Oryctolagus cuniculus: one gene and its partner. The protein of the gene in region 2 interacts with the protein of the main gene of each other region in a pairwise test. Links are inferred from orthologs where the notes say so. Each region holds a gene or a part of one and is shown on either strand. Other genes may lie near its edges. The genes, in order: CENPF and NDEL1.

The links.
Region 1: the proteins of NDEL1 (region 2) and CENPF interact in binary tests that used the Homo sapiens proteins (3 or more experiments, as listed by UniProt). The link is inferred for Oryctolagus cuniculus from reciprocal best matches to the Homo sapiens genes NDEL1 and CENPF.

Annotation. Positions count from the first base shown.
Region 1 is NC_091444.1:28,874,415-28,878,995, reverse strand, and holds the start of CENPF (centromere protein F), read right to left. Parts: upstream 2,896-4,581; 5' UTR 2,626-2,895; intron 1-2,625. UniProt on the Homo sapiens protein: Required for kinetochore function and chromosome segregation in mitosis. Required for kinetochore localization of dynein, LIS1, NDE1 and NDEL1.
Region 2 is NC_091448.1:52,897,324-52,901,131, forward strand, and holds part of NDEL1 (nuclear distribution protein nudE-like 1), read left to right. Parts: intron 1-1,335; coding exon 1,336-1,472; intron 1,473-3,808. UniProt on the Homo sapiens protein: Required for organization of the cellular microtubule array and microtubule anchoring at the centrosome. May regulate microtubule organization at least in part by targeting the microtubule severing protein KATNA1 to the centrosome.

The DNA of each region.
Region 1 (4,581 bases), on a different chromosome or scaffold from region 2:
AGCTTGGACTCAATCAGCACCCATATGCGATGCTGGCACTGCAGGCGGCAGCTTTACTCGCTATGCCACAGCGCTGGCCCCAAAAATATTACATTTCAAGAAAATAAAGTGGAATAGGTACTTTAGGGTTAAGTCACTGGGAGTACCAGTTCAAGTCATGGCTCTTCAGCTTCCAATCCAGCATCCTGCTAATGCATCCTAGGGTACACCAAATGATGGCTCAAGTGTTTGGGTATCTGTTACCCAAGTGGGAAACCCTCGTGAAGTTCCTGGCTGCTGGTTTCAGCCTGATCCAGTCCTAGCTGTTGAAGGCCTTTGAGGAATGAACCAGAGGATGGAAGTGCTCTCTCTCTCTTGCTATCTTTTTCAGGCTTTCAAGTAGATGAAAATAAAACAAACATTTTTCTTAAAAAAAGAGAGAGACATGTTTCTATCTTCTCTATCCTCTGAAAGGTAACTACCAGTAACTCTAATCATGAAGAATGTAATATACTTATTTGATTTCCCCTGTGGTTTTTTTTTTCCCCTCTGTTTTGGCTTCTTACAACTTTAACTACTCAAGTTTTTCTTCTTTCATTACATAAAACATGGATATTTTTGCTTTTAGCTTTTCAAGTAAAATAGGTACAGAAAACAAAAAAGATGCATGACAAGGCACTTTGCAAATCCTCTTTGTTCCAGCTTCACATCATTAATTATCATTCATATTTTGTCCCTTTCCCCCCTAAAAAATCTCCTCGGAGACTTGTGTAGGGACATCACTCCCTGCATTCCATGCCAGTTCCTCACAGCAACAAGAATCCCCATCCCCTTCCAATGAATGCATGCATGAGCAAAGAATGAAGGCCATTATTACTACCGAAATCATTCTAAACAGTGGCAAAATCAAGCCCTGGACAGACATGAAGCAGAAACAGGTAAACAGCCTTAGTGATTGAAAGGATTCAATTCCCAGCAGTCACTTAGAAGCTGTGTGACTCCACACGTTACTTATCTGCTCTGTGCCTTAACTGCTTCATTTCTAAAATACTAATAAAATATTTCCTAAAACATTTTAAATAATAGCTCCTGGTGACCTTTCTACAAGTGTTAGCAATTCTATTTGTAACTGAAAACACCTTTGGTTGTTTCAGCCTATGTTACAAGTAGCCACCTCCTTCCCAAACACATCTTAAGATAATTAAAATCAACTGCAAGTAAAGGATAACAATCATTCTTTACCTTGGCCTTTTTAACATAAATGAAAGAAAAACCATCCCTTTTTCCAATTAGTCTGACAACAAAGTTGAAAATACACGCTTTACTAAAAATAGTAAACATTTTTAAAAATAGTAAAATTTTTAAAAATTACGAGGGAGAAGCAAAGCCTTAGAAAACATAAATTAGATATGCAGCCAGTTCTTTATTGGGGAGGGGGAGCTGTTGGGGCAGTCTCAGTTATGGAAAGACACTATCTTAAACCCCACTCCTATTTAACCAAAAAATAAATAAAAAATAAAAAAAATTCCACCTCTCGACTAACAAAGGACAGGAGACCCTGTCTTAATAGCCAACATCTATTTCGCTTATTTGTTCAGGATGGGAATACAGTACCCCAGAGGCACACAGTTACACTTCCTTAAACAATTCAGCCAGACACTCAAAGCCTTTTATGAAGACGTCAGAGCACAAGTATAAAAAGAGCAACTTTTCACTGATGATAGAAATGAGGGAAATAAACTGAGGCCAGACTGGCAAGGCCAATGCTCTTCCATTCCACAGCTAGAACATACTCGTCTATTTAAAGCAATTGCCAGACCCAAGCTAAGTATGATTGAGGCAGACTTGGACTCCTTCGGGATCCGCGGAACTGGGGGGGGGGGGGGGGGGGTGTTGCTGCTGAAGAGAAGCTCTGGACATGAAGGTTCCTGCAAGGGGGATTTGAAGGGCCCGTATCTTTTCCAGAAAATGCTCTCTCTACCCAAATATGTGGACAGTCTTCACGCCCGAACCACCTAATCCCTCCAAAGTCCCCAAGGCAACTCTAGTGAGACCCACCCGCCCCACGGCTGCAGGTCTTCGTGCCCCTCTTTTATCAGAACTCAGCAGCCCCCCCCCCCCAAAAAAAAAAAAAGAAAGAAAGAAAGAAAGAAAGAAAAAACCCGTCTCCTCTTCTAGACCTGGTTCCTCGCCGAAAACCAGTCGTGTTCTGTATTTTGGGGGCCTGAACACATAGCAGAGCCTGGCACGCAGGCGCGCCCAAATACACGGGAAAGGGGCGACAAAGAAGCCAGGAGGGCAGAAATGCTCTCGTGACGACCAACGCGCACGCCGCCCGGCCCCAAAACCCAGGCTCGCCTCTCCTAGATGCCACAAAGGCCCCGACCCGGAGGAGAAAACTGCTCCCCCCGGAGCGCGAATCCGCGACCGAGCGCGGCGGGCCCCGAGCAGAGAGGCACCGAGAGCCCGGCGCGCCTCAGCCGCCGCCTCTTCTCCGGTCCTGTCAGGAGGGAGGGGTCCGGCCGCCGCACCTGCAGGGGCCGAGAGGGCGAGCCCGGGGGCGTCCCCGCCCGGTACGCGCGCACAGAAAGCCAGCGGCTCCGCTACGCCCCCAGGTCGGAGCCGGAACCCAGGCGGGACGCTCACCTTTCCACCGGGGAAGGCAAAACTGCCGCCGAAAGTCCGATTCTGCCACAGCCTCCACAGGGTAAGAGCGCAGCGTCCAGTTCAAACCGCCCGCTTCCGGTCCCGACCCCCACGCCTATTGGGTGCTGTAAGCAGCTGTGGGCCAATCCGCTTCCGCGCCCTCAGAATGCCTCCTCGGATTGGTCCTTTCGGAGGGATTTGAAAAAAACGAATCCTCGCTACGGGAGGAGCCTGCGCCGCGTGAAGGTGCGTTTTTGTTGTTGCGGAAAAACGGAGACCACGAGCTTCCGCAGACGCCGGAGGCCCTCAGAACCGCTATTTCCGACAAAAGCCAGGGAATGGGCGGGCTGATTAGGAGGGCGTGGCTCCTCACCTCCGGCCTGCGGCGTTTGCCGTCTGGTTTTCGCGCTCAGACTGCACCTGTGTACCTATTTGTATGTTAAATTTAGGCTGCTGATACTAAGTGCTATGCTTGCTGGCCCTGCATTCTTAGTCCAGTGTCAGTCTGTAACCACTCCTCGACACTATTATTCCCACAGTATTTACAAGTTAACGGAGGTTTGGGGCCGGCAGGCCGACGATGTTAGGCCGGCGCGTACAACGCTGGCCCGGGGTTCGAGCCCCAGCTGCTGCACTTTCCATCCAAGCTCCCTGCTAACGCTCCTGGGAAAGCAGGCAAAGATGGCCCAAGTCCTGGGGTCCCTGCTACCCACTTGGGAGACCTGGATGAAGTCCTGGCTCCTGGCTTCTGCCTGCCAGCCCTGGCCGTTGCGGCCATTTGGGGAGTGATCCAGCAGGTGAAAGATTCTCTCTCTCTCTCTCTCCTTCTCTCTCTGTAACTCTACCTTTCAAAGAAATAAATCTTTAAAAAAACAAAAAGTTAACGGAGTCACCCAGAAGCTCAGTGATTTGAAACTGATTCTAGCTCCGCTGACCATATTTTTGAAGAGCTGCAACATGTGTTAATTGGGATTCTGGGCGAGGACCTTGCGGCAGACCCAACTCTTCAGAAGAGTGTCTTAAAACCTCGATGTAACTGCTACTAGTTTTGTATGTAAGAGGAGACTTCAAAAAGTTCATGGCAGGATGGATTCAAAAGATAAGATTATTTTGCTGCAAAAAAATTTTTTTTTAATCCACATGTGGTTTTTTCATAGTATATATTTTCCGGGAACTTTTTGAAGGCACCTCCTATTTTGCGTACTTATTTTATTTTCCTATTCCACTTAAAATAAGCTGCTGAAGGCAGGAATTCTGAAGACAGCGAATTGCTAAATTAATACATCTTCGACGCTATTGTCCTCAATAGGCTCCAAATTTTCCATACTCCTCTCTTTACTGTTCATTAGACTATTTCTGTAGCATGACTGCTCCTCTCCTTTCGTTGAACTTTGGTTAATCTTTCAACGCACAATTCAAATGGCACTGTCTTCATTACACCTCTCTAATTCTCACCCACCCCTTAGAAACAGGTATTTCTTAGGTCTTTCCTCTAAATTTTTGACCTCTAATGCTCTTTCTCCCAATTTCAAAATTTCTCTAATCTCCTCTAAGCACTATCTCTTCATTCTCTTTCTCAGAGGACAACTTTACCTGATGGTTCACAGAAATATAAGACTTGTAACAGGAACATCTTCAGTTTCCTGCCACCCAAATCTGCAAACTTGGCAAAATCTATACCCATGTCTCCCATGCATTTTTCCCGTTACAACCAAGGGAAACCTATTTCTGACACTTACTAAGGCTGAATAATTGCTGTGTTCTGGGGCTTGCAAACAATAATCATTAACTGTTTCTACTCCCCTAGGTCTTCCTATTAGCACTTAAATTGTACAAATCTTACCCTTTAAGAAAATACTTTCTTGGGGCCAGCGATGTGGCTTAGCAGGTTAAATCGCGCAGTGCCTGCATCCCATATGAGTGCTGGTTCGTGTCCCTGCTGTTCCACTACTGACC
Region 2 (3,808 bases):
CTCTGTAGGCAAAGGGAAACTCTTTAAAATTTTTTTGAGCAAAGGAGTAATATCAGAGTTATGATTCAAGAAGGTAATACTGAGGCGTTGGAAGCACGGAGAAGTGCAGAACATTTGGGAGTAATCCATTTAGGGAGAAGAAGTAAGGCAGAGAGAAGGTTGAGGAGGAAATAGATTCCAGAGACATTTTGGCAATTGACAGGAATTGCAGAGTAGGTGTTGAATGAATGAGAAATGCAAGATGGAAAAAGAGCTGACAGGAAGTAAGTGAAGTGGAACCTGGGACTTACAATGTTAGAAACAAATTCTTAGCCGGCGCCGCGGCTCACTAGGCTAATCCTCCGCCTTGCGGCACCGGCACACCGGGTTCTAGTCCCGGGCGGGGCACCGGATTCTTTCCCGGTTGCCCCTCTTCCTGGCCAGCTCTCTGCTGTGGCCCAGGAGTGCAGTGGAGGATGGCCCAAGTTCTTGGGCCCTGCACCCCATGGGAGACCAGGAGAAGTACCTGGCTTCTGCCTTTGGATCAGCGCAGTGCGCTGGCTGCAGCGCGCCAGCCGTAGTGGCCATTGGAGGGTGAACCAACGGCAAAAGGAAGACCTTTCTCTCTGCCTCTCTCTCTCACTATCCACTCTGTCTGTCAAAAAAACAAACAAACAAAACAAAAACAAAACAAAACAAATTCTTACATGCTTCTTTATATTCAGAAGTTTTCTTCTGGGGCCAGTGCTGTGGCATAGTAAGGTAAGCCTCTGCCTGCAGCACTGACATCCCATATGGGTGCTGGTTTGAATCCTGGCTGCTCTACTTCTGATTCAGCTCTCTGCTATGGCCTGGGAAAGCAGTGGAAGATGACCCAAGTGCTTGGGCTCCTGCACCCAGGTGGGAGACCCAGAAGAAGCTCCTGGCTTTGGATTTGCCCAGCTCTGGCCGTTGTGGCCATTTGGGGGAGAGAACCAGCAGATGGAAGACACTTTCCTGTCTCTCTCCCTCTGTAACTCTGCCTCAAATAACTTAGTAAATCTTTAAAGAAAAAGTTTTCTTCCTCAAAATTCATAAATGAGACTGTATCATGTTTAAAATCCAGTGAAAATATAAATAGTGTAACAGTTGGCCTTTCTTTAAGGAATTTTAAGGAATTTACTGAATGGCCCGAATGGAAATAGAGACCCTGAATCCACAGAAGGTTGGGAGAAAGACCAGCTCATTCTCTTTGAACTTGGTGGAACAGACTAGGTGAAGAATGTCATGAGATAAACTGACAGTTTCCTTTTGTGTTAGCTGTTTGCACATGTTATTTATTTACTTACTTTATGGACTGTTAATTTTTTTTTCCAGGGCAACAATAGTTTCACTGGAAGACTTTGAACAAAGGCTAAATCAGGCCATAGAACGGAATGCATTTTTAGAAAGTGAACTTGATGAAAAGGAATCTTTGTTGGTCTCTGTACAGCGGTTAAAGGATGAAGCAAGAGGTAAATTTTATAGTTTAAAGAATATTTGTCGGGGCTGGCACTGTGGCGTAGTGGGTTAAGCTGCTACCTGCAGTGCTGGCATCTTACATGGGCGCCAGTTCGTGTCCCACTTGTTCCACTTCCGATCCAGCTCCCTGCTAATGTGCCTGGGAAGGCAGCAGAAGATGGCCCAAGTCCTTGGGCCCCTGTACCCACGTGGGAGACCTGGAAGAAGCTCCTTGTTTATGACTTTGGCCTGGTCCAGCCCTGGCTGGTGTGACCATTTGGGGCGTGAACCAGCAGATAGATGATCTCTTTATCTCTCCTTCTGTCTCTAACTCTGCCTTTCAAATAAATAGAATAAATATTAACAGTATTCTTTTTTTAATCTGACACTAGCCAGGGTAAGCTTAAGAACTGACTTCCTTTCTTTTTTAAAGGTTTATTTATTTATTTGAAAGGCAGAGTTGGAGAGAGAGGTCTTCCATCTACTAGTTCATTCTTAAAAGGGCCGCAACGCCTGGGGCTGCTGGATTAGGCTGAAGCCAGGAGCCTGAAACTCTGTCCAGATCTACCATGTGAGTGGCAGGAGCCCAGTTACTTGGGCCATCTTCTGCTGCTTTCCCAGATGCATTAGCAGAGAGCTGGATCAGAAGTGGAGCTGCTGGGACTTGAACTGGCACCCATATGGCAGTGGCTTAATCTGATGTGCCACAACGCCAGACCCTACTGACTCTTTAATGATTGTTTTTTTCATGACTTTTTCTTTTTCCCTGAGGGATTGGTGTATTCACTTGAAGAGTCTCTCATAATTTACATAGTGTGTAAACCATTCTGTATTTTATTACTGTGGTTAAAAAAAAAGAAGCCACATAATGTTAAATTTACCATCTTAACCATTTTTAAGTGTACAGTGCAGTGGTGTTAGATGTCACGTTGTTGTGGAACAGACCTCCAGAACTCTTGCACCTTGCTCTATACTCACTGAAGAACAGCTTCCTATTTCTTCCTCCCCCCAGCTGCTGGCAGCCACAGTTCTGCTTTCTGTTTCTCTGAGTTCCACTACTTTAGACACTTCTTTTTCTTTTTCTTTTTTTTTAAGATTTTTTTATTTGAGAGGCAGAGTTACACAGAGACACAAAGAGATCTTCCATCTACTGGTTCACTCCCCAAATGGCTGCATCTGCTGGGGCTAGGCCAGGCCAAAGCCAGGAGCTAGGAGCTTCATCCAGGTCTCCCACGTGGGTACAGGGGACCAAGGACTTGGGCCATCCTCTGCTGCTTTCCCAGGTGCATTAACAGGGAGCTGGGTTAGAGGTTTGGCATCTGGGATTCAAACCAGCGTCCATATGAGATGCTGACGTTGTAGGCGGTGACTTAACCTGCTGTACCACAGCATTGGCCCCTGTATCCATTTTCTTTATGCATTCATCTATGAATGAATATTTGGTGTAGGTGCATTTCTTGGCTTATGTGAATTATGCTGCTATGAACACAAGTTTGCAAGTGTCTTCTTGAGATCCTGTTTTGAATTCATTTGGACCTTGGAAGTTGGATAATCTGTATCCTTTTCTGATACAAGGAAATATTCTATACATTAGTTGCCTAACTGGAAAATTTAATTTTGGGTTGAAAATTCAATATTTGAAAGCAAGGAAATTAATTTTAAAGTGATATTATTACTTTATTTAAATAAAGATTTTTATTTATTTATTTGAGAGGCAGAGTTAGAGGGAAAGACTGGTTCACTCTCCAGATGGCCTCAATGGCCAGAGCTGGACCAATCCAAAGCCAGGAGCCAAGAGCTTCTTATGGGTCTCCCATGTGGGTGCAGGGGCCTAAGCAGGTAGGCCATCTTCCACTGCTTTCCCAGGCCATAGCAGAGAGCTGGATCAGAAGAGGAGCAGCCAGGACACAAACTGGCGCCCATATGGGATGTGCTACAGGCAGAGGCTTAGCCTACCATGCCAAAGCGCTGGCCCTTAACTACTACTTTTTTAAAACAAAATGTTTCATAGTGATAATAAAAAATACCAACTCATATAAAATTATAGAAATGCATTTCATTGATTTCACAGTAATCTCCAAACTACAATATTTTAAAGTGAAAGCAAATGAGTTGATGAAGTATTTATTTTTTGGGGGCTGGCATTTGGCATTATGACAGTGCTTGGGATGCAGACTTCCCACACTAGAGTGCCTGGGTTCAAGTCCTGGCTCTGCTTCTAATTCCAGCTTCCTGTTAATGCATACCCTATTAAGCATTAGGTTATGGCTTTAGAAGTTGGGTTCTTGCCCCCTACAGTGGAGACCTGGATTGAATTTTAAGTTCTTGGCTTTGACCTGGCACAGGGCAC